Linked DNA regions of Tribolium castaneum. The protein of the gene in region 1 interacts with the protein of each later gene in a pairwise test. Links are inferred from orthologs where the notes say so. Each region holds a gene or a part of one and is shown on either strand. Other genes may lie near its edges.

Region 1 (7,891 bases):
CTAGTTTTTGAAAACCTACAAGACGGGAGAAAGTAAGACAAAGTTGTTGGTTGTTTTTTTTTTTGTATTCTAGACTGTACACATTAAGCTGTCAGAAGCCTCATTGTCGCGCAATGTTTAAAAAAAAGAATGTACGCAACAACTTTTGTACAAATTCTATGATTTGTGTTATCTACAATTGTTCATCAAGCTTTCGACAACGTGAAAATACGTCTCGTTGTGATGAACACTTGCATTTCTTTCGTTTTGTCTCAAACAAAAAACATACAAGTGTTCGGATTGTGCCAAATTCGGGTGATTGCAAGCTGGTAAAAAGTAAAAAGACTTTGTACAAAAAGCTTGTTGGTTGAACATGCACTTGTTATATTCTAATTAAGTACAGGGCGACTCTTCTAGGGCCTACATCACAAACTTTAAACTTATTATTTTGCACACACACTGATCCAACCAATAAATTTGATCCAAAATGGCGCCAACTTTGCACATATCTGTCAGAGTTTTGACATATATCAATTTTTTTCTCATTCAGAACATCACAATTCTTCTTGGATTTGTTACCAAACGATTAAACAATCTTCCAAAATTTTTAAACTTGTCAACTGTCAAATTGCAAAGCTACTATGATTTTTTTTATTATTTTAAAAAGATAATCAAAAAATGATTATAGTAATGATATAAAAAATCCGTTTCTCGTGATTTTTTTCAAAAACTGAGATAGGTATAGAACGTGATGATAAAAATTACCATAAATGTCAACTTTAGTTCTATTGCCGTTAAAAAATATGGCCGTCCCATTTTAAAAAAACATACTAGCCTTGAATTTTGACAGTTGACAGTTTTGTAAATTCTAGAAGGCTCTTCAAACATTTAATTATCAAAAAGAAACTGATCAGTCATGTTTTGACAATTGTCAAAAGTATGACAGACTATACGAAAAACATGTCTGTAATTTTTAAAGTTATTTTCGTATTTTGTATTTTGTACAAAAAAATCAGGTCACTGTAGTACAGTAAAAAAAAGTACCAACTTTAACAACAAAAAATTACTTATGGTAATGCCAACCTGACGGCTTTTTGACAATTTTTCAAGTTAGGAAAACGAAAATTTTGCCAGAAAATTGCCATACGTCATAAATAATTTAAAATTGGCGCCAATTTCTAGTAGCTCAGTCATTTTGAGTTCAATCTCTAGCTGCATTATTGAAAGTTTGAAACGTAGGCCTTAAGAGAGAAACGCTGTCACATATTATGGAGGGTACCATACATCTAGCTACACTCTTCCACTGTAAAATTACACCAAGGCAATGTAACTCCACAGCTCGCCTTAAGATTATACAATAAGTGTAAAACATGGACTGGCTGTCATATGCAAAAATTATTACTTATTTCATAATTTTTAGACTTGGAAAATACGTTTTTGCATATGTCCGAATTATTATTATCAGTTGCTTAGTTAAGTACACTGTAATAAAACGAATGGAATGACGTAAAAAATACCAACCTAACCAACCAAACGCAACCAAATCGTTTATTACTCCTTGACTTCGAAATATTTGTAGGTGGGATTTTCGTAGCCATTGATTTGCATATTGGCCACGTGCCGCTCCTCGGGGGTGGCGGCCTGGTCCACCTCCACGAAGCCTTGGCTTTGGGGGGAGCGTGCGGACCTGCGCCGTGCCACCCCCACCCCCACCACCACGGCGGCCATCAGCGCCATGCCGGCGAAGGCGAGAGTGAAGTAAACACTTTTGCCGTCTTTGCTGCCGTACACCTCACGTCGGACTGAATAAGTCTGGAAAAAAATGTGATACATGACGAGGCGAAGCCGAGTGTCGTCCACTTACAGGTTCGCCGTGGCTGATGTCATGCGCCATTGCATGGGCGACTCGGATCACGTCTTGTTTGTGGACCACGGCGGCGACGTCTTCGACGGCTTGCTGGACGGCGGCGTCGTCCACGGCGTCGCGGTGGCTTGTGGTAGGGATGGAGTTGCTCACAAGGTCGAAAGTTGAGCTCCCGGTGGTCGAAATTATTGTTGTCTAAAATGGACAATCAAAAAATCAAGTTTGAAGTTGTCGGCCATTTTTAAATGGCGGACAAGTTCGCTTTAAAACTTATTTTTTCGCAAAAATTACTCAAAATTACCTAGAAATTCATCAAATTGACGTTGTTTAGCTAGTTTTTTAGTAAAATTTCGGTCCAAAATTACCTTTTTTCAAGTTTTATTGAAACTATGTCGGAAAAATATGCTTTTTTTTTCAAAAAAACCCACCCTTTCTTCTGGCAACGACTCATCTTCCATGTCTTCATCATCAAAATTGCTAATCTTCTTCCCTAAAACAGCCTCAACTCTCTTCTTCTCCTCCCTTAATTCCGACCGTTCTTTCTTCCTCTGTTCCTTCCTCTCCTTCTCTTGCAACCTTTGTCGTTCTCTCTCTGCTTGTTTATTTGTAACTTCTGATTTATATTTATCCAAAATCGCAGCTTCAGCTTCAGTTGTCATCGCTAGAAGTGATCCAGGTGTTTCATCTTTTGATCTCAAAGCTTGGATGTAATCATCCATTAATTGACCGATTTTCGTCGCCAATTCTGGATATCTTTTTAACATTTGCATGCTTTGATTAACCGTACGATCAATGTCTGTTAAACGTTCGAGAATGCGCGGTTGTTCACGAGCTGCCGCCTCCAAACTACTTGCCAACAGATGGCGGTAGTGGTTAATAGCATGAGCTCGGTCTTTGTGAAGAGAACGGAGCAGTTTTTCCAGGCATTTCTGCACACGATGGGTCTGCAATCAAATAATTAATTGAATTAATTAAATACAAAACTGAATAACTTTATTATTTTTTTTAAAAGTAATTCAAACCGTAGATATTTCTGAATAAAAAAAAATTGACAGTCACAATTTTGACATATGTCATCGTAAGGGTAAAGCGATAATTTTTTTCAATAGATTTCGTCAATTCATTTAAGAAGATATAAGGTTTGTTATATATTTTTTTTACAAATAAAAATATATATAACTGAAACACCCGGTATATACATATATTTTTACTACAAATTCTGCAAAAAAAATGTGTTTATTATTATTATAATTGTCGAGTCGAGGTTTTACTGTATTGTATCGCACAACCGAGGTTTTACTGTATTTAAAAAAAAATTGCGAAACGAATTGATTCGAATGTAGCCATAAACATGCATTAAACATTCCTTTTATGACTTCAAAATCCATTTGATGAAGTTGATGAAAATGTGCAATTAGAGTTAATAGTTCTAACGAGAGTTGTAAATGAAAATTTTAGTTCTAACTACCTCCATGTGTAGTGTTTCTGTTGCATTTAAACGCGTACAAAAACATTTATTGTAAGGATTTTCCTGTGCTATAAACAAAAAAAAATCACTAAAATAATGTTGGTTGGTGCTGCTGGTTTTGCACCTGTCATGTCAAATTCCAATTTAAAACTGTCAAAAATTTGAGAATATTTTTGGTGTTTTTAGAAACTTAAAAAAACACAATTCTGTCATTTTTTTAAATTATCTAACATGAAAATAACTACAAAATTACTCACATTGAGAGGCGCATCATTCAACGCTTGTGTATAACAAGTCATGGCCTCCTTCTTCCTTTGATTAATATGTGCTAGGACTCTTTGCTGATGCATTGCTGCCAACTGATGTTTCTCAGCATCGCCCTCTTCTTCAAGCGCTTGCACCGTCTGTTGAAACCTCTGCGTCATCCTCTGCTTGAACTCATCAGCTCCACGTGGATCCGTCTGTCTCATGTCCTGATACCTCTCCTCCAGGTCCGACCAATCCTTCATAACCCTTGTAACTTTCTCCCTGTGTGTCTCCTCCAAACGTTCCTGCGCCTCCTTGTAACTCTGGTGCTCGTTTCTCGGATCGAAATGCGTGAAATAGGGGTCTGGGGTCGGCACTGACGTCGTCTTCGCCGTGGTGGTGGTGGTGGTCGTGGTGGTGGATTGTTTGGACGTCGTGCTCGACGGGGTGGTGTCCCAATCCGAGTCGTCGTATTCGTCGTCATCGTCGTCCTCGTCGTCGATGTTGGGGTCGTCGGCGAGCTCGGTGTCGTCGGCGAGGTCGTCCAGGTCGTCCTTGTCGTCGTCTTCGTCCGAAGTGGAGTCATCGTCGTCGATGGTGTCGAAGATGTTGTCCTGGTCCTTTTTCAGGATTGTTAAGTCCAGTGGCTTTTTCGGCTTCATGTTGTCTGGAATTTTTACTTAATTGGCATTTTTTTCAAAACTGTTAGGCGCAGGATCGCGATTTTTCGTTCAAAACGTAGATAATAACACTTTTTTTTATCTTCTGGAGCATAATTTAAAAATTCGGCTGAACAAATCGTTTAGTTTTTTTTTCAGTTTAATGTTGTTTGAAAATTGCGATTTATTAGACGCGAGGGAAGCAAAGTTTTAGTTATGTGGATAAATGTTAAGTGTCTCGAGAGGGAAACAAGTTGTGAAATATGAGTAGTTGGGTTTTGTCTCCGATTGAATTGGATTTTAATTTAGCTAGGTTTTGGGGGTTTACCCAATTTGGAAGTCAATTCGTTAAAGCAATTTGGGGGAGATGGATTGGATCAGTGGCTGAATTTAAATATCTGAGTATCAAAGGAAGAGGAAATTTTTCCAAATGCCCGAATTTATGACTTATAATAATTTTACCCCCTTTTTTATTTTACTAATTACGGAAAAACTATTCGAAAAAGTGGAAGTATTTTGACGTAAACTTATGTAAAATGATCCGGGGAATCGACTGGCGTCGAGAAAATCCCCAAATTCCCAATAGTTTTTTAGTTATGACGCTTTTTTTTTATTTTACCAATTTTTCAAAAACTATTAATCGGAGAAGAATGATTTTTTTTGTAAAAGATAGATAATTAAAAGAGCTTTCCAACGATGGTAAATTTCGTAGGGCTATCTCTGATAGTTTCGGAGTTATTGCCCGATAAAGGTAAAAAAAATCGCAAAAACTGTTTAAAAAATGTCTTTAATTGTTTGAAGGTAGAGTTGTTTTGTAAAGAAATAATAATTTAACAAGCGAAAGACCGGCTTGAAACCGCGTCACAAAAGTAAATATAATTCCGGTCAAAGCTTTTCCATCATAACTCCATTGTGCTTGTGAAGTAAATTGCAGCATGTCACATTTAATGCATTAGAGGCCTTAAACTTTGAAATTACATCGGTTATTATTCTCGAAAAACTCATTACTTGTGTGCTAAAATAAATAAAGTTTTTCTCGCTGACCGCCGCCTATATTTCTGATTCTCATTCAGCTGTAAATTGGGTTTAATTTACGAACGAACGAACGCATTTGTGTCATAAACATACGTCGAATCTTTGAATGGCCGATTATCTACATTCAAAGCATACATAACAGTTGATTAGTTTAACGTCGTATTTGTTCCACAAGGGGTTTGCTTCCTATCACCAAAGCTCTGACGGTGATAAATGAAGCTCATTTGATTTAGAACTAATGCGAATTTGAACTATAACAAGTGGGGGAAAAAACGAAAGAATTATAAATTCATTTTAGAGGGCATGTCTCGGGCAGATTTATCGACTTGAACCACTAATGGAACCGCATATTGACTGAACTAACACTTTTTATGTTTCCAATAGATTGAATTTCGAACCGTTACACGGGATTGCAACCTGAGCGAGCTGTTCGATACCAGTTATTTGCAGTGCTCCTCAAATTCACAAAAGCAGCACCGAAATTCGCAAAAATAATTTTTCAAACCTGTTTTAATAAAAATACAGACTAGATCTATACGAAAATAATAAATTTCCGGACTAATTTTGCAATTATAACGATTGTTCAACGATAAAAATGTGAGTTTTTTTGTGTCCCGTCCGTCATCAGTTTGTAGATTTCTTATTCCTGCTCGCTTTTCAAATTTTAAAAATGTGGCTCTAATTGTAGGTTGCTAACAATTAATAATCTGTAAAAAAATTCACTTCTACTGAATAAAATTTTGTGTCTTTAATTAATAAATATTGTGAAAGTTGCAACAAGTGAAAAATCCGGGCATATGGTGCGAGTCCTCAACGCCAAATTATTGATAAACTCGCTCGAAAACTTCCTAATCCCCTAAACTGTTGAACTAGAGTATCGCGATGTTATCAAGTGTTGAGACTAATGAGAGAAAATAAAAAGCTTCGTCCAAGTTTCGAGAGCTAATTCTTTATTGCGCAAAAATAAAAAAGGAAAAAATTTTATATAACGTATATAAGGTGTGAAAGTTGTGCTTGAACGATAGAAAGTTATTCGCACGGAAGGAAGGAAGGAAACAAAGCGATATAATATGGGGTGTAGTTAGGTAGAAGAACTTGCCTTTGAAGTGTTTGGGACAGCATACAAATTCCACACCACTAAACAAAGAAATGCCACAGGGAAGAAGCATAGCAAACGATCGAAGTTGGAGTCCTCGTTCTTGGCAAGCGTTGCCTGCAGTGGCATTCCAGCGACCGAATGTCCAGCAGTTGCTCTGGTTGTGGATGTGGTCGAATAAGCAGTTTTCGGGCACTAGGAGAGCGTCCGACTGGAACGGACCCTCTGGAACAAGCAAAACAATTTTTTTTTAACTCACTCTAGCAAAGTTTTATGGACTTTTATGTGTCTTTACAACCCACTAGAGTTGTTAAAAGTCCACAAAAAGTCCATATATTCGATTTTTTGATGTTTGATTTTTTCAATTTTCGTCGCAATTTTGGTCGATTTTGGGTACCCGGAACATTTGTCGAGCAATAGCTCCGGAACTATCAGAGATAACCCCATGAAGTGTATTATCGTTGGAAAGCTCTTTGAATTATCTATTTTTTTCAAAAAAGATTATTGTTCTCCGACTTATAGTTTTCGAGCAAATTGCTGATAAATGCAAAAATTGGTGAAATTTTAAAAAATTCATAACTAAAAAACTATTGGGAATTTGACAATTTTCTTGATGCCAATCGATTCCCCGGATCATTTTGCATAGGTATGGATCAAAATAGTTTCACTTTTTAGAATAGTTTAGCCGTAAATGAGAAAATAAAAAAAATTAAAAAAAAGTTAACACCCCCCCCCCCCTTAAAATCTGTCATTTTTTAAAGTGTCTCAAAATCAAATAAAACCGATTCTATCTTATAGATTTTGATGTGCTCTTTCCGATCTAAAAAAGCGTTTTCTCCCAGCTCTTTTAGTTTGGCCGTAATCGGCGTTTGAAAATTGAAAAATTTTTTTGCGAGATATCGCTTTGAGTCCTATGCTATTTTGTAGAGCTTTTTATTCCGGTTGTCCTCGATTTTTCCGTTTTTCGATAACTCTAATAGTTTGGCCGTAATTGGCGGTTGAAAATTGAAAAAAAGCGAAAATGGAAACCTTTTTTTGCGTTTTTCTCGGAAACTGTAAGACTTAGAGCAACGAACAAAAAATCATTTGATAGCGCTTAATTTTCTCTATTTTTTCGATTAAACCCGGAGCCGCTCCGGGCAACGGTTCCGGCTACAGAGGCGATCAAAGTTTTTCACTAAAAAAATTCATAAAAAAAAAACTAAAAGTCGTAGAGCACTGCAGTTTGTTCCATTGAATTCAGCGGCTCATTTTACATATTATATCAATTTTTCACAAGAATTAAAAATTTAAAATTTTTTGCTTAAAATTTCCTGAGTCACTTACCTTCAAAAAGGTGAAAAAAACCTTTTTTTTTAAAACTCGTTCTAGTATCCTTTTATGGACTTTTATATGACTTTACATCCCTCTAGAGTTGTTAAAAGTCCACAAAAAGTCCATATATTCGATTTTTTGATATTTGATTTTTTCAATTTTCGTCGCAATTTTTGTCGATTTTGGGTACCCGGAACATTTGTCGAGCAATAGCTCCGGAACTATCAGAG
Region 2 (8,093 bases), on another chromosome or scaffold:
CACTCCATTGACTTGTAAAAGAAATTAATTTTCACTGGTAGGTACTTTGCAAGCTCTTGTACAAAATAATGAATTACTTTACTCAAAGCAGAAGGCAAATCAATATCAATATCAATGTTTCAACTGCTGTATCAAACTTTATGATTGTCTAGAACAAGAATAGCTGGAAATTTAATGAATAGACTTTAAGTTTACATTCATAAATTGACTTTACTGAAAGACTTATCAAAAGTTTTTGGTTTAATTAGGACTGTACACGAACTGTCTCAACACATTTTCTCGGACAAAATCTGCAATTAGGTTTCATGTTAATATTCAAATCGTAGTTGATACAGCCAAAAAATCTAATACATTTTTACCGTACGTTTGTTTAAAAAATAGATTACAGTGAAAAAATTAAGAAAGTTAGGCTTGCTTTTCAGAAGCTTTCAATTAATATTTCTAATAAATTTATAATAGGGCACAATAAGTGGTTATTTTTTTCGGTAGATCTAAGAGGATTTGAAAACTTTATAAACTTTTTCTTCAAAAATATTAATAAGTGCCGACTTTAGCTAATAAAGCTAAAATTCAAACTACTGACCGATGATGAAATGACCACTTCATTTGCAGGAGAAAAATTATAAACCATGAGTTTTTTTTGAAAAGTCTATAATAGAAAGATTTGGTAAATGAATTGACAAAAAGTAGAAAAAGAATAAAAACTTTAATTTGAAAGAAAACTAATTTGCAATAAGCTTTATTTATTATGTATTTTTTGTCAAAATACATTGAAATGTTTTTGTACCCTTATTAGTAAGATCAAATTCCTTCATCTTCTCTTTTGTTATTATATTACTTAATAAGATTTTAGAAAAAATAGAATCAAGATTCAAATTTTTCTAAAATAAAGGCTAATTTTAAAATTGTCATTTTTGTTTCTAAATAAATTCATCAGAAAAAATAGATTTGTTCTATATTTAATTTAATAGTCATACTAACATTAGTACTTCGACTTTCATAAGAAATTGGAAAGTTCATAAAACACTCTTAGATTGAGTTTGAAAAAATTTCTTTTTTGTTTTCGAGGATAAATAAGTTCCTTAGTTTATAAAAATTTTCTGAAAATAAAAAACTTTATCGTTCCAAATAATATTATATGCATTTCTAAGAATTCCAGAAACTTTAACTTGTTGGAGTTTTGAAAAAATAATTTTTTGAGTTTTCCAGTATAAATTAATGAGTTTCAGTTTATCAGCAACCTCTAATAAATAAAAGAAAATGTATCTGTAGATATAGTTTAGAAAAAATTTTGATTTTTTGGGTACGTTTTTTAGCAAGAAATTAAAAACTTACCTATGAGCGACATCTAATATTTAAATGCTTCGCTGCAAAAGATTTTGCTCAGCTAGTGTCCTCTAGCAACTAAGTAGCTTTGTCACTTTTTTTTTAAACTTCAATAATAAAAGAAATTAATAGTTTTATATTCTAAATTTCAAAATAAATACTTAAAACCACTCAAAATTTTTGGTTATTATCAAATTGATGTTGAAGCTACAGCAATATTGTTTTATTCTAAAATTGTTCAATTTCTTACTTAATTTTCTCACAAAAATCTGGAGTTTTTATCATGAAATATGTCGAAGACAATAAATTTTTTTATTACAACAAATAGCTAAAGTCCGTAATACAGTATAACTTATTTGAAAATCACTAGGCTTTACGGACGTCCATAACGTATTTTTTTGCACACTAGTTTGTAAAAAATGATAACTTTAAAATTTTAAACTACAGTACAATCTCAAAAGTGTAAACACTAAAAGTCCAGGGCTACTGCATCTGTTCGTATTATCGAGGCTATAAATACATTTGGACATAGGTAAAATAACTCAATTTTTTTTTTATTACAAAGAGTTTAATTCTTTATACATATTTTTTAAGCAACAAGTAGAACGTATAAAGTTTGTTAAAATAATTCTCATCTTATTGCCTGAGACGACTTCATGACAAACCACTTGTAAAACAAGTCGACAAGAAATTACACTAATACAAATATTTATGTTTTTTTTCCACATGTAACTGGTTGTTTATACCTGTGACGTCCGATTACAGCACTGCTAAATACAATAAGTTTAAGCTGAACTAAAACAGTTGTTCTTCACAGAGTGTCTACTCGTATAGTGTCCTATAAATGTTAATGTTGTAGTTTCATTTTGTTAAAACATAAGATTTTTTTGAATAAAGAGTTTACTAATTTATAGCCCGTTTTGTCAGTCCAGTGTTACTTCTAGTTTGATTCTTTTTTTTAATCCTACTTTCAATAAAATTTACTTTTATACACTCTATGTAACAATGAATTCAACGTTTGGCAAAAATGGTGGATGCGCTGGGAAAATTAGTTTATTACCTATTTTATCAAAACCAAATAAATGATTAATTGACAGTATGCATTATTTGTTATTACAAAGATAAGAAATATTAAAGCTCAGTGAAAAATAATGCATACTGTAAATTACTCATTAATTTTTTTGATAAAATGGGTATAAAAATATCTTATTTTTCGACACTGTCATAACTTTCGTTTTTCCTCCAGTGTAAGACAGTTTTGACAACTATTTGGCGTTTCTTAATACAAAACGTCAGATTATTTTTAACAGATTTAAAGCAATTTTAAGCCTTGCTGAGTCTAATTAGATGAGTAAAATGTTGTATTCAACTCTTTTTTGTATAAATCGGTTCATTTACTTTACCTTGTAGATGATAAAGCACTTGTTGTCACTCGTGGTTTGATAATCCACTCGTGAAATAAAACATTCGATTTACACTCAAACTCGTTAAATAATAGGATATTAAAAAATAAGTTTTATAAGATCATTCTTAAAACACGAATTCAAGTTTCAAAAATGAGTGGCATTGGCCACAAATTTTTTGAAATAATGAGTGCTTCAAAGTCTCATGAAACGATTTTTTTAGACTATTTTTTGTAATTTGCCGTTTTTAAACAAAAATTGTTATTTTAACAGATTTAGGGACTTTTTTGACGATTGGTAATGTCGCAATTTTGAAAGTAATAAATTGATTAACATTTTTTTTTATCCAAATTGGGTCAAAAAACAGGAGTATGGATGATATTAAAGGTAATCTTGCAAAAACGCCTTTTGAAATTTAAGAAATTTACAAAAATACGGTTGCGAATTTGGTTCCTGTCAAAATAAAAAATTTCATAAAATGTTTAGTCAAATAATGACTATTATAACTTTGCACTTGATAATGTTGAGTGCTTTAAGATGTCTATTAAAGCATCAAAATGGCGGCAAATTACAAAACTAACTATTATCTCGGCGCATCCACCATTTTTGCCAAACATTAAAAACGTTAATGCTTCTCAAATGCAATCAAAGCGAAAAAATTAATATTTACGGAGAATTTTACCAGCTATAGTTTACACTACACAACATACACGCCTTACGGACTATCTTTTCAACTCTTTGGTCACCAAAATTATTAACCATTTTATTTCGTGTCAAACTCACTGACAGTGTTTTCACTTGTCATTTTACCAACAATTTTTAAATCTTTATTATATACCAGTGTATTTTTGCAGCTTCTGTCGTCAGTATGTACAATGCACAATACCACGTATCTCGAGAAATGTCTCTCGCAGACGAACTAGGCAGTACAGGGGGAGGAGGCAGCGGACCAAGCTCAATCTTAGTATTAAAATGCGGATATCTATGGGACACAGACTCGCCCGATTCGGAGCGCCTTATCACAGACGCCGACAGCGGCCACAGCACGGCCCATTCTCCCACAGGAACCGACGGTTTCAAATCCATGTCGCCCATCATGGGCATATCGCCTTCGTGCGTCGACGGAGGCCTGGTGTACAACGACGTTGAAATGCTGGAAGCCACCCATCGGGGACTTCACAAGTTTGTTCCCCGACACGATGACGAGATCGAGGTGGAAATCGGGGACCCAATCTACGTGCAGAAGGAGGCGGACGATCTCTGGTCGGAAGGTGGGACTTTGAGCGCTGGAGCGCTGCGATAAAACTGATCGTGTTGTTATTATTTAGGGGTTAATCTGCGGACGGGGAGGATGGGGATTTTCCCGTCTGCTTATGCAGTGGACTGTGATTACAGCGATTGGGATTCATCGTGTGAGCACGGGAGGAGGGAGCGGTATTTGTTGGGGTATTTGGGGTCGGTGGAGACGTTAGCACACAAGGGGACGTCGGTGGTTTGTCAAGCCGTGAGGAGGGTTATCGGAAATTCGGGAAGCGATCCGGAGTCGCAACCGTGCATTCTTGAGGTTTCCGATCAAGGCCTGAGGATGGTCGACAGGAGGAAACGAAACGTTAGTATGTTAGGGCGTCTGAGTGTAAATTACATTTTGTGCAAATTTATCATGTGCTTAAACACGCTTAAACTTTTATTTACGGACGATTCTTTGGTTAGAAACGAGATAACACTCTTAGAACAAACAAAAAATGTTTTATTCTAATTCAAAAAATGATTTATGTTAGACTTCGGTCGAAAACAGCTTATTCTGGACGATTTCTTGTTTTATTTGAAAAAAACAGACTAAAAACGCTTTATTCAGTTTCAAAAGAACACATAATGTTAAATGTTAAATAATGGATGAAAACGGTTCATTTTAGACTATTTTTTTGCTTAGAAATGAGTACATTTTGTTAAAACAGACAAAAAACGCCATATTCTGGCCTAAAAGAAAGACGTATGACAGGAAAGAGGAAACGAAACGTTTAATAATTTAAATAAAATTTACAGATAATTCTTTGTCAAGAAACAAGAAAACTTTCATAGAACAAACAAAAAATGTTTTATTCAAGTTAAAAAAAAATATTTATATTAGACTTTGGTGGAAAAAAGCTTATTCCGCATGATTCTTTGCTTAAAAACGAGAACACTTGTACAAAACAAACTGAAAACGCCTTATGCAAGCTCAAAAAAAAACAAATAGTGTTATAGTTAGGATAAAACGGCTTATTTCGGACTATTTTTATAAAACTTTTATAAAACAAACTACAAACGCCTTATTCAGACTCAAAAAAACAAATAGTGTTATAGTTGGAATAAAAACGGCTTATTTCGGACACTTTTGCTTAAAAATAAGTAAACTGGTATAAAACAAACTGAAAACGCCTTATTCAGCATAAAAAAAATTATGTTATAGTTTAGATGAAAACGGCTTATTCCGGACGATTTCTTGCTTTATTTGAAAAAAACAGACTGAAAGCGCTTTATTCAGTTTCAAAAGAACGAATAATGTTATAATTTGGATTCATTTGGTTCATTTCGGACTATTTTTTTGCTTAGAAATGAGTACACTTTCTTAAAACAGACAAAAAACGCCATATTTTGGCTTAAAAGAAAGACGTATGACAGGAAAGAGGAAACGAAACGTTTAATAATTTAAATAAAATTTACAGATAATTCTTTGTTAAGAAACAAGAAAACTTTCATAGAACAAACAGAAAATGTTTTATTCTAGTTAAAAAACTTATTTATGTTAGACTTTGGTGGAAAAAAGCTTATTCCGCATAATTCTTTGCTTAAAAATGAAAAAACTTGTACAAAACAAACTGAAAACGCCTTATGCAGGCTCAAAAAAAACAAATAGTGTTATAGTTAGGATAAAAGGGCTTGTTTTAAACTACTTTTATAAAACTTTTATAAAACAAACTACAAACGCCTTAGTCAGACTCAAAAAAACAAATAGTGTTATAGTTGGAATAAAAACGGCTTATTTCGGACAATTTTGCTTAAAAATTAGTGAACTGGTATAAAACAAACTGAAAACGCTTTATTCAGCATAAAAAAAATATGTTATAGTTTAGATGAAAACGGCTTATTCCGGACGATTTCTTGCTTTATTTGAAAAAAACAGACTGAAAACGCTTTATTTAGTTTTAAAAGAACGAATAATGTTATAATTTGGTTTTATTTGGTTCATTTCGGACTATTTTTTTGCTTAGAAATTAGTACACTTTCTTAAAACAGAAAAAATACGCCATATTCTGGCTTAAAAGAAAGACGTATGACAGGAAAGAGGAAACAAAACGTTTAATAATTTAAATAAAATTTACAGATAATTCATTGTTAAGAAACAAGAAAACTTTCATAGAACAAACAGAAAATGTTTTATTCTAGTTAAAAAAATTATTTATGTAAGACTTTGGCGGAAAAAAGCTTATTCCGCATGATTGTTTGCTTAAAAACGAGAAAACTTGTACAAAACAAACTGAAAACGCCATATGCAAGCTCGAAAAAAAACAAATAGTGTTATAGTTAGGATAAAACGGCTTATTTCGGACTATTTTTATAAAACTTTTATAAAACAAACTACAAACGCCTTATTCAGACTCAAAAAAACAAATAGTGTTATAGTTGGAATAAAAACGGCTTATTTCGGACACTTTTGCTTAAAAATGAGTAAACTGATATAAAACAAACTGAAAACGCCTTATTCAGCATAAAAAAAATTATGTTATAGTTTAGATGAAAACGGCTTATTCCGGACGATTTGTTGCTTTATTTAAAAAAAACAGACTGAAAATGCTTTATTCAGTTTCAAAAGAACGAATAATGTTATAATTTGGTTTGATTTGGTTCATTTCGGACTATTTTTTTGCTTCGAAATGAGTACACTTTCTTAAAACAGACTAAAAACGCCATATTCTGGCTTAAAAGAAAGACCTATGACGGGAAAGAGGAAACAATACGTTTAATAATTTAAATAAAATTTACAGATAATTTTTTGTTAAGAAACAAGAAAACTTTCATAGAACAAACAGAAAATGTTTTATTCTAGTTGAAAAAATTATTTATGTTTGACTTTGGTGGAAAGAAGCTTATTCCGCATGATTCTTTGCTTAAAAACAAGAAAACTTGTACAAAACAAACTGAAAACGTCTTATGCAAGCTATAACAAATAGTGTTATAGTTAGGATAAAACGGCTTATTTCGGACAATTTTGCTTAAAAGTTAGTAAACTGGTATAAAACAAACTCAAAAAAAAATGTTATAGTTTAGATGAAAACGACTTATTTCAAACAATTCTTTGCTTAGAAAAGAGTTAACTTTCTTAAAACTAAGTCAAAATGCCATATTATGGCTTAAAAGACAAGTTTTGTGTTATAATTTGGATAAAAATAGCTTATTTCGGTTGATTTTTTGCCTAAAAACGAGTAAACGTTTATAACTTAAGACGCCATATCATTGTTTTAAAGAAAGTTTTGTGCTATAGTTAAGATGAAAACAACTTATTTTGAACGACTCTTTAACTAAAGTTTCTATTAAAAAAATTCAATAGAATGGGACAAGAAATCACTAAATTACGTAAAATTTAAACTCTCTGCGTTCTAAAATTAGTGTCCAATCTTATATTTTTGAGTGGATCATAGTAATATTGTAATGTATCAGTAGTTGTTTTTATTTAAATTGAACATAAAAAAAGAGAAAAAGAAAAAACCGCAAAAAATTTAAAAAAACGAAATTAGTTCAAACACTAGTAAATTTTTACATTTTCTACTGTATTGGATCGAAAATGTTAGATATAACCTTGCTATACATTAATTATTCTGCAAAATTTCTTCACAAAATATCCAAAACGTTATCGAATCTTGTCAAAAATGATGTTGTTTTCGGGCTCTTAAAAACATTTTTAAACTAAAAAGTACAAACATTTCGTAATAGTCTGAGAAATTACAAAACTATAGAAAGGTACATAATTTCTGCGTTATACTTGGAAAATGTTTCGGCCAAAAACGTAATTATTTTGCTAAAAGTTTATAAAAATATGTCAAAAATTTGACGGTTTTGTTGGTTAAAGTTTTTTTATTGAAATGGGAAGCTAGTTTTTTGGTAAATTTTGTTAAGACCGAGCGAAAAATAATACCTAAAACATTATATTATTCTTTTCTGTTTTCAAGTTTTTCTATAACATTATTCAGCGAAAAATTGGTAAACACGCAATGATTTTGCCAGATATAATTAAAAATATACCGAAAAGTCGCTGATTTGAGTTGAAAATTATGCTTTTTTGGGCGTCTTAACAAGATTGTTTTAAATGAAACGTAATTTACTAAA
Region 3 (7,234 bases), about 6.3 Mb from region 1:
TCCATCCCAGACATGACAGACGAAATGACTGACGATGACCAAGACAACTGGAAGAAAACTGGGTTCCAGATGGATCGATGTTCTATTTACTCCGACTAATTGCTAGCCGGTTTAAAATGGAAAGTTATTTAGATTATTCGGTATAGTACACGACGCCAGTGAAAGGTTTACTTTCTACTCAGATCACATAATAAAGAAGAACCGCTCGTTTCATCATACGAATCGACGAAAAATGCATTTTAACACGATGGCTCTAACACAAAGGTCACGACGAATCTTCCGCCAATTCTAATGAAAGGCAAACCCAGCTGTTTGGAAAACAATTTGCAGTAGAAACTTGCCACTTCCATACCGAGACGGCATTCCGTGCCCCACAAACCCATTACGTGAAATGTTCAACACAAATAATTACTTGCAATAATGAAATATAAATTATCCCAAATGAAGGGTTCCTAATTCCATCTTATGAGAGAACGATTTCAGTTTGGATTAAATGGTGATTTTTTAATGTCAAACCGAAATTCACATGTAATTGATTTTTTCTAGTTAATAATTAGAAAATTGCACTCTCTTGTTGATTTTATAATTATTGTTTGTAATTTGGTAAAAAACTGAATTCGGTAACTAGCAGCCTTTCGGAGACATTAGAAAATTTTCTCGGATTACTTTCACTCTATTAACCGCCCCTTCTCTGCCAGGTTAATAGCTTAAAAGATGGGTAACGTTTGCTTGATATCTCACGAAGAAAAAAGGATTAAGTGTTAACGAAAACGCTAATGGCCCATAAAAGCCCCCACTTTACCACCTATCAAGTTGCAGCGAGCTGTGAAAAATCCGGGGCAGTGTTTATCACCCTAATAAAAATTAAAGGATTGTAAAAAACTGTTGAATAATAAACTCGTAAACTTGTGAGGAAACTGAGACACTAATTTTCATTTTGCTGGTAACACCAAGTACAAAATTTAAAACTTAATTTAGTTTGTTTTGCTTTCTAGTAAAACTTGTCTATCGTGGAATTAATTTCGGCAACTAATAACACTAATTTTGCACAAAATGTTCTCTCGTAATTGTGAATTGGGTTGCATAAGCAGTTGCGCAAGTGCAACATCCATAAATGTTCATATTTTTTAAACACTTTCAAAAAAGAAAAAGGAACACCCACTGGCTTATTGAGTCATGTTATAAATATCATGAATATGAAACCCGCCTCCGCAATGCTTCTGAACAAGAGGCACACGTGTGGTAAGTAAATCAATTGTTGTCGGGTCCATTAATCAAATGATTTTAATTTCTTCGTGGGGGTTTTACCGATTTTCTTCGCGTTATGCAACCAATAATACACTGTTTCAAAACCCGATCGTGAATCGTCATAATCTGCACCCGCACTATAATAGTACTTTTGTGCCATTATACCGCTCTAGCTCATTTACATAATTATGAAAATTCGTGTTAAACATTTCACGTAGCGCGCTAAACGAAAATAACGACCGGTTGAGATTTGGGTCAAAATAAGCCGAGTTTTATCACAAACTTGTAATTTGACTTGTTAATTTTGATAAAAGCATTCTTTTCTTAATTAAACGAAAGGGTGAACGATCCGTTCACTTTTACTCCAGTTTTGGATCGTTTCCCTGATTCCTGAATGGAATTGAAAGGTGAGTTTGGTGCACAACGGTCCAGAAAACGTATTCTACCCACTTAGTTATTGTTATTCCAGTAGAAGTAAATCACATTAAAGTTAGATTAGCCGTAGAAACGAATATGTAATTAGGTATGCGTTGGTGAAAGGCGATTTTTGAGTCGGGCTAATGAGGCGGTAAAACACCTCGTTAGACAATTATTTAATTGCGGTTAATTGCACAGCTCGTCGCCGGATCTGGGGCCACTGAAGAATCCGACGAGAAGATCGGCGCTGGAGGTGTTGCAGAGATCGACATTGCGAAGGGGGCTGGAGTGGAGCACCATGGCGAGGGAATCCCCGGACCCATCACCCGTTTGTTTGTCATTGCTAATCGCGGTCTCGCCAACCTCGTACAAGACTTAATCTTGGTAAGAAACCCTCATAATAATCCCTACTGAACGCTGATTCGTTTTTTTGTTGCAGCGTTTGGCCCAAACTAGCGAAAGATTAGTCAATTTCAAGGCTCGTCTTGTTACATCTCTCATCTAAGCAAATTACATCGCCATCGTAATTTAATCCACCTCGCTCATGCAACACCTTCACGCATTGTTACCACTATTGTAAAAAACAAGCATGGAGCTCATTATTATAAATTAATTTATCAGTTTCTATTTTTGTTATTTTTTATTTAAATTTTTTGTATATAGTGATAACTTTCTTTTCGCTGTTCTTTTAACACGTCATCATGTGGTCGTCTTGCCATTTCTTCCTTAAATTTTGTTATTCTTTTTCTACTTCTTCACTAGCTTTAAATTTTAGCGTAAGTCTCTCTGTTAAATTTAGCTTCGCAGTATAAATTACCAGATGTATATAACCTGAACAATTGCTCAGTTTGAACTTACTACATGGAAATGTAAATAGAAATTTCTTCATCATGGTGTAGATTATTGTCTATTTTGTGTCTCTGTAAGTAGTGTACATAATTTAAAAGGAAACACAGGTTTAAAAATTTTGATTTTTTTATGAAAGTTACTGTATGTTGTATTTTTTATAGTAATTATATTAAAAATACAAAATTCTTTAAAAAATGTCAGTGTATTTATTAGTTTGAGTGGAACTAAGTCATCATCATCGTATATGGTTCTTGTTCACTATTTAGTATTAGTAGTGTAATTAAATAAAATGAACGCTAGCTTTGTATTAGGTACTTAATTGCTTTATTCCATATCAAAAGCTACAATATAATTAATTATATCATAAATACAATAAAAAATGTCATTAGTCTAAAATAATAACTTTGGTACTTAATTTCTTACGAACTAGAAAACGTAATGAATAAAAACAATGTCGGGTCTTGAAAAAATTGCTCAGTCTGTAGTTAAGTACTGCCAGTGCTGCTGTTAACAAATTCGGATACACAAGTGCTTTGGTAGCGTTACCTAAACTATCCTAATTAACTATACAAAATGAAACATTTATACATAATCCCTTTAGTTACACACATAACACTGAAGCTGTACACAAACCACCAATCAAGTTTTTTCCAAATTGCACAGAAACTTGACTCGGCGTCTGGATATAATACTGAGGCTAAAATAGTTATGAAATTTAAGCTACAATCATTTGGCACGCGGTCTCTTTAAAAATATAGTAGTTTACAAGAATTGCATTGTTGCACTATGTTTTAACTGTCATGGAATGAGTGAAGCTCTCACTTGAAAACACAGATCTTAAACGGCCGAATGTTTGCCGATTATTTCGCCCGATTTTGAGTAGACGTGCTTGCCGTCGAATTCCACGGACATGGTTTTCTCTCCTCCGTTCATGTGGGCGTCCTTTAGAGGCTCACGCTCTTCCTCCCTAGGGAACAATGGTAATTGAGAAAAAGACACGAGCAAGGTGATATCATGCTGTTACAGCTAGACTTTGACGAAATTAGATCGGAATTTGGCGCAATCGAACAGATTCCAAGGCGGGTGAAAATTGAAAAACGACGGAATGTGCAACTTTAACAATCAATTTAGGGCAAAAAATTGGATTCTCAGATTGAAATTCTTTCATATTTTGACCAATTTTATTTTTTAAGGTGTCGTAAGTTGTCTAATTCTTGTCCAAAAATCATAAGTGCTTGAAAGTTAACGTTAAAAAAGAGAATATAACAAATGGTTAAAATTAAATTAATTAAAAGATTAATTATTAAGGTTATTCCAAATGAAAAACATTTACATGTAATAGTTATTTATTTATCCGACGAGTTTTAAACCACGAGTAATAACGAGTGGTTTATCAATTATCATCCACGAAGTGTAATAAATGAACGGATTTACACAAAGACGAGTTAAATACAGCATTTTGTTCTTCGAATTACACCCAACAAGGCCTGAAATTCCTTTCAATCTGTTAAAAATAATCTGATTTCGTATTGAGATATGCCAGACAGTTGTCTAAACGTCCTTAGCAAAAAAAAAAAATTGAAATTGTGAGCACTTACGAGTCCAAATTTAGAGACATTGAAATAAAATAATACTACTTACTACTGGGTTCTAAGCTTTTAATTTCCAAAACCAAAATTCCATTTAAAACTTGTGAAATGTGAGTGATTAAAATTTAAACACTGTGTTCTTAAAAACACTTCCAAATAAATTAATTATTTGTAAAAAGTAAAAACGAAATTTTCCCTCAGTGTGTTGTGTTATTAACTGTTTTCCTTGTGAGAAAGTTTCGAAACTTACCTTTAATTTCCTTTTGTTTTTCTGCACAATAATAAATTCTAGTTTATGTAACTGATAATATTTAAATGTTTCCAAATGAATAAAGAAAATACATCGTCGTAAAACATAAAACTCTTAAACAAACTGTCTCTAACTTAAAATTTAAATTTACAATTTCTGATTTTGACATTAAATTATAATAATTATTCTATCGCTTTTTAACTCTTTTCAATAATTTTTGTTTCTTAACAAATTTTTTTCTGCACAACGAACTCAAGTTTAACTTATTATAATTTGATTTCAAATGAGAAAAAAATCATAATTCAGTAGGACACAAAAGTCTTTAGCGAGCTTATTAGTACCTGAAGTTTCAAATTTGCATTTCTTGATTTTTAGCTCCGAATTTCAATTATTCATTCGTTCTCAAACGTTCTTAATATTTTTTTCCTTGTAAAAGCAAAACAGAAGAGACCTTACATTCTCCTTTCTTGTTCTGTACAATGAACTATAATAACGTAACTATTAGGTTAAATAAGAAAAAAAAATACATTGAGGTAAAACAATAAAGTATAACTAAAAATTTGGCTTTCAAATCTTTCGATTTCAACTATTCATTAGTTCTTAAAAAAATCATCAACGTGATTAATGTTTAATTTTTCCTTGCAACTGCCTTTAATCCCTTTGTTTTTCCGCACAATGCTCGGAAATTTACGTAATTTACATTAAAGAAAACATTTGTTTACAAAACAATACGTTTTCATTCGACTTGAAATCTGTTGGATTAAATACGCAACAAATGTGCTACAAGAGCAAAATAACACTATTAGCATTGCGTCCTTCCCCTGTATTAGTCGTCTGCAACTAAAAATACGAAGCTAAGCCTGTACAAAAATTCCTGGTTCGTTTTGTGAGCGAATATTCGCAGTCACGGCGACAATAATAACAGCATGCTTTTGCATAAACCACAACATCCATGCATTTGGGGCATGCAACCAACCATCAGATCCTTACATTGGTGATGGTGCCAGTTTGACAGGTAGGGGCAAGTTGAGACTGTTGGGATGCGCCGGGGCAGCTTTGTAACTGCAATAAGGCAGCGGAAATCGCCAACTGTATAGACTAAAATTTCCAACGAATGTATAATGTGATGTGTGATGAGGGACAAAACGTCACAAAAGCATGTGTTATTACGGGAAACAAGCACTCATTTATGTACAGATGTGTGTCTTAACAAAAACATGAGACATACCTTCCTAGTTTCGGGTCCTCTTCATGGTGCTTCGATCGGTTTCGATCGCAGATAAACGCGAGAATCCCCGCGCGGTTCACGCAAAAACAGATTAAGTCGACGAGAATTAGCACAAGAATGACTGCTCCCACCACGATTCCAATTATTGCGAAATTAGTGACTGAAGGCTCGTTGTAGGGCACTGCAGGGTCGATGCCTAGCAAACAAACCAAAATTAAGGCAAAATCACAAAGTGGTGGCGTTTTAAGCGTATTTAGTTGGTTAGTTGTGGGTTAAAAATGTGGTCACAGGCCACATTTTTAACAAAATGAGCGCATTTATTGTGAAAAGTGTGTTTGTCTTCCACCATGTCTACTATTCTAAGGACAGCTCATGCCGGTTTCTAACAAAAACTGCTCAAAAATTATTAAACTCTGAAAGTGAAAAATAAGTAAAATAAAACTGGGGTCTTCACATAATCCGTTTTTATTGTGTGACTGTTAGTATATTACACACGAAAGAAACCTAGAGGCATGCAAAGCAAGATTAAGAAGCGGGTCAGATCTACGGACAAATCGTGGCCAATAGGTGACCTCGGCTTTGCCCAGTTAAGATAACAAGAAGCTACGTACATTTCCGTCAAGTCGTTTTTGTCCCTTGTCGTTTAAACACATGAAAAGCCACTTTCAAATCACTTCACAAAAGCACAACTTAAAAAAACAACTACGGTTTAACTCATTTATTGATATAAATTGACATGTTTTGTAAATTAAACTATTACAATGAGATTGATTTTCGTTGATGACTTAAGTTTATTGTCCAATTGCGACAAAAACAAAAAATAACTACAACACAACTTCAAAGTTTTTAGATTTGGACGAACAAAACACAACAAACAACAACGAAATCTAAAAACTTTTAAGTACAAAAACATGCACACATGCAGATATTTAACTAAGTCTGGCACAGATACGCACGCAAGAGACGTCTGTTGTAGCAACAGCCCTCAGTCTTGAATTTCGACATAATCCTCTGAATTTCAACAATAAAATAAAATTTTTCCACTACTACAAACACCTCTGCGTTTTTTTGGTATTCGTAAAATTCGATTCAGAAACGAGGGTTCTACCCAATACAGTTTATTTTAGTTGGCAGTAACAACTTAGTGATCAACAATTTAAATCATGCGCATCCAATTCATCCAACATTCATACGTGACTACGAGCAAATGAAAGAAACGGTTAGTAGAAGTGAGAAATGAGGCTCAATAAAAACGGATATGACATTCAAAGCTGCATCTCTGAGAAACGTATTAAAATAAAATGTCAGGCATGCTTGGTCTACTGAAAGTCAACAATAACAACGCGATGGAATGTTCAAATCATGCGAAAGAAGCGGTTTCTATTTCTATTGTACAATAAATTAACGAAACGACTAATTGTTCCAAGCAACGATGCGTGATTAATACCATTTAATATTTACAGAATTTATCGATTGGGAACACATTTAATTTCATTAAAACCCCTGTAGTGAAACAGTCAACTTTTCCTCTATTTAGCACCGATTCGTATAAAACGCACAAAACACTACGATTATAGTCATTGAAGCCTGCAGAGGGATATAGAAAGATGCACTTGAAGTCGAGCTCCCATAAAAAACACCTGGAGGGAGGGC

The links.
Region 2: the proteins of amyloid-beta-like protein (region 1) and Aplip1 interact in binary tests that used the Drosophila melanogaster proteins (3 or more experiments, as listed by UniProt). The link is inferred for Tribolium castaneum from reciprocal best matches to the Drosophila melanogaster genes Appl and Aplip1.
Region 3: the proteins of amyloid-beta-like protein (region 1) and Fas2 interact in binary tests that used the Drosophila melanogaster proteins (3 or more experiments, as listed by UniProt). The link is inferred for Tribolium castaneum from reciprocal best matches to the Drosophila melanogaster genes Appl and Fas2.

Annotation. Positions count from the first base shown.
Region 1 is NC_087402.1:656,952-664,842, forward strand, and holds part of amyloid-beta-like protein, read right to left. Parts: intron 6,573-7,891; coding exon 6,351-6,572; intron 4,225-6,350; coding exon 3,569-4,224; intron 2,788-3,568; coding exon 2,272-2,787; intron 2,039-2,271; coding exon 1,844-2,038; intron 1,792-1,843; coding exon 1,531-1,791; 3' UTR 1-1,530. UniProt on the Drosophila melanogaster protein: During development, plays a role in the regulation of the neddylation pathway. Appl and APP-BP1 interact antagonistically during development.
Region 2 is NC_087394.1:6,460,941-6,469,033, forward strand, and holds part of Aplip1 (JNK-interacting protein 1), read left to right. Parts: intron 1-3,583; coding exon 3,584-4,000; intron 4,001-4,057; coding exon 4,058-4,338; intron 4,339-8,093. UniProt on the Drosophila melanogaster protein: The JNK-interacting protein (JIP) group of scaffold proteins selectively mediates JNK signaling by aggregating specific components of the MAPK cascade to form a functional JNK signaling module.
Region 3 is NC_087402.1:6,964,821-6,972,054, forward strand, and holds the end of Fas2 (fasciclin-2), read right to left. Parts: intron 7,222-7,234; coding exon of another isoform or gene 7,115-7,221; exon of another isoform or gene 6,285-7,114; intron 5,778-6,284; coding exon 5,582-5,777; intron 5,452-5,581; coding exon 5,344-5,451; intron 3,482-5,343; coding exon 3,352-3,481; 3' UTR 2,816-3,351; downstream 1-2,815. Other genes in the region: uncharacterized protein LOC100142371, read left to right, coding at 1,864-2,049, 2,105-2,170.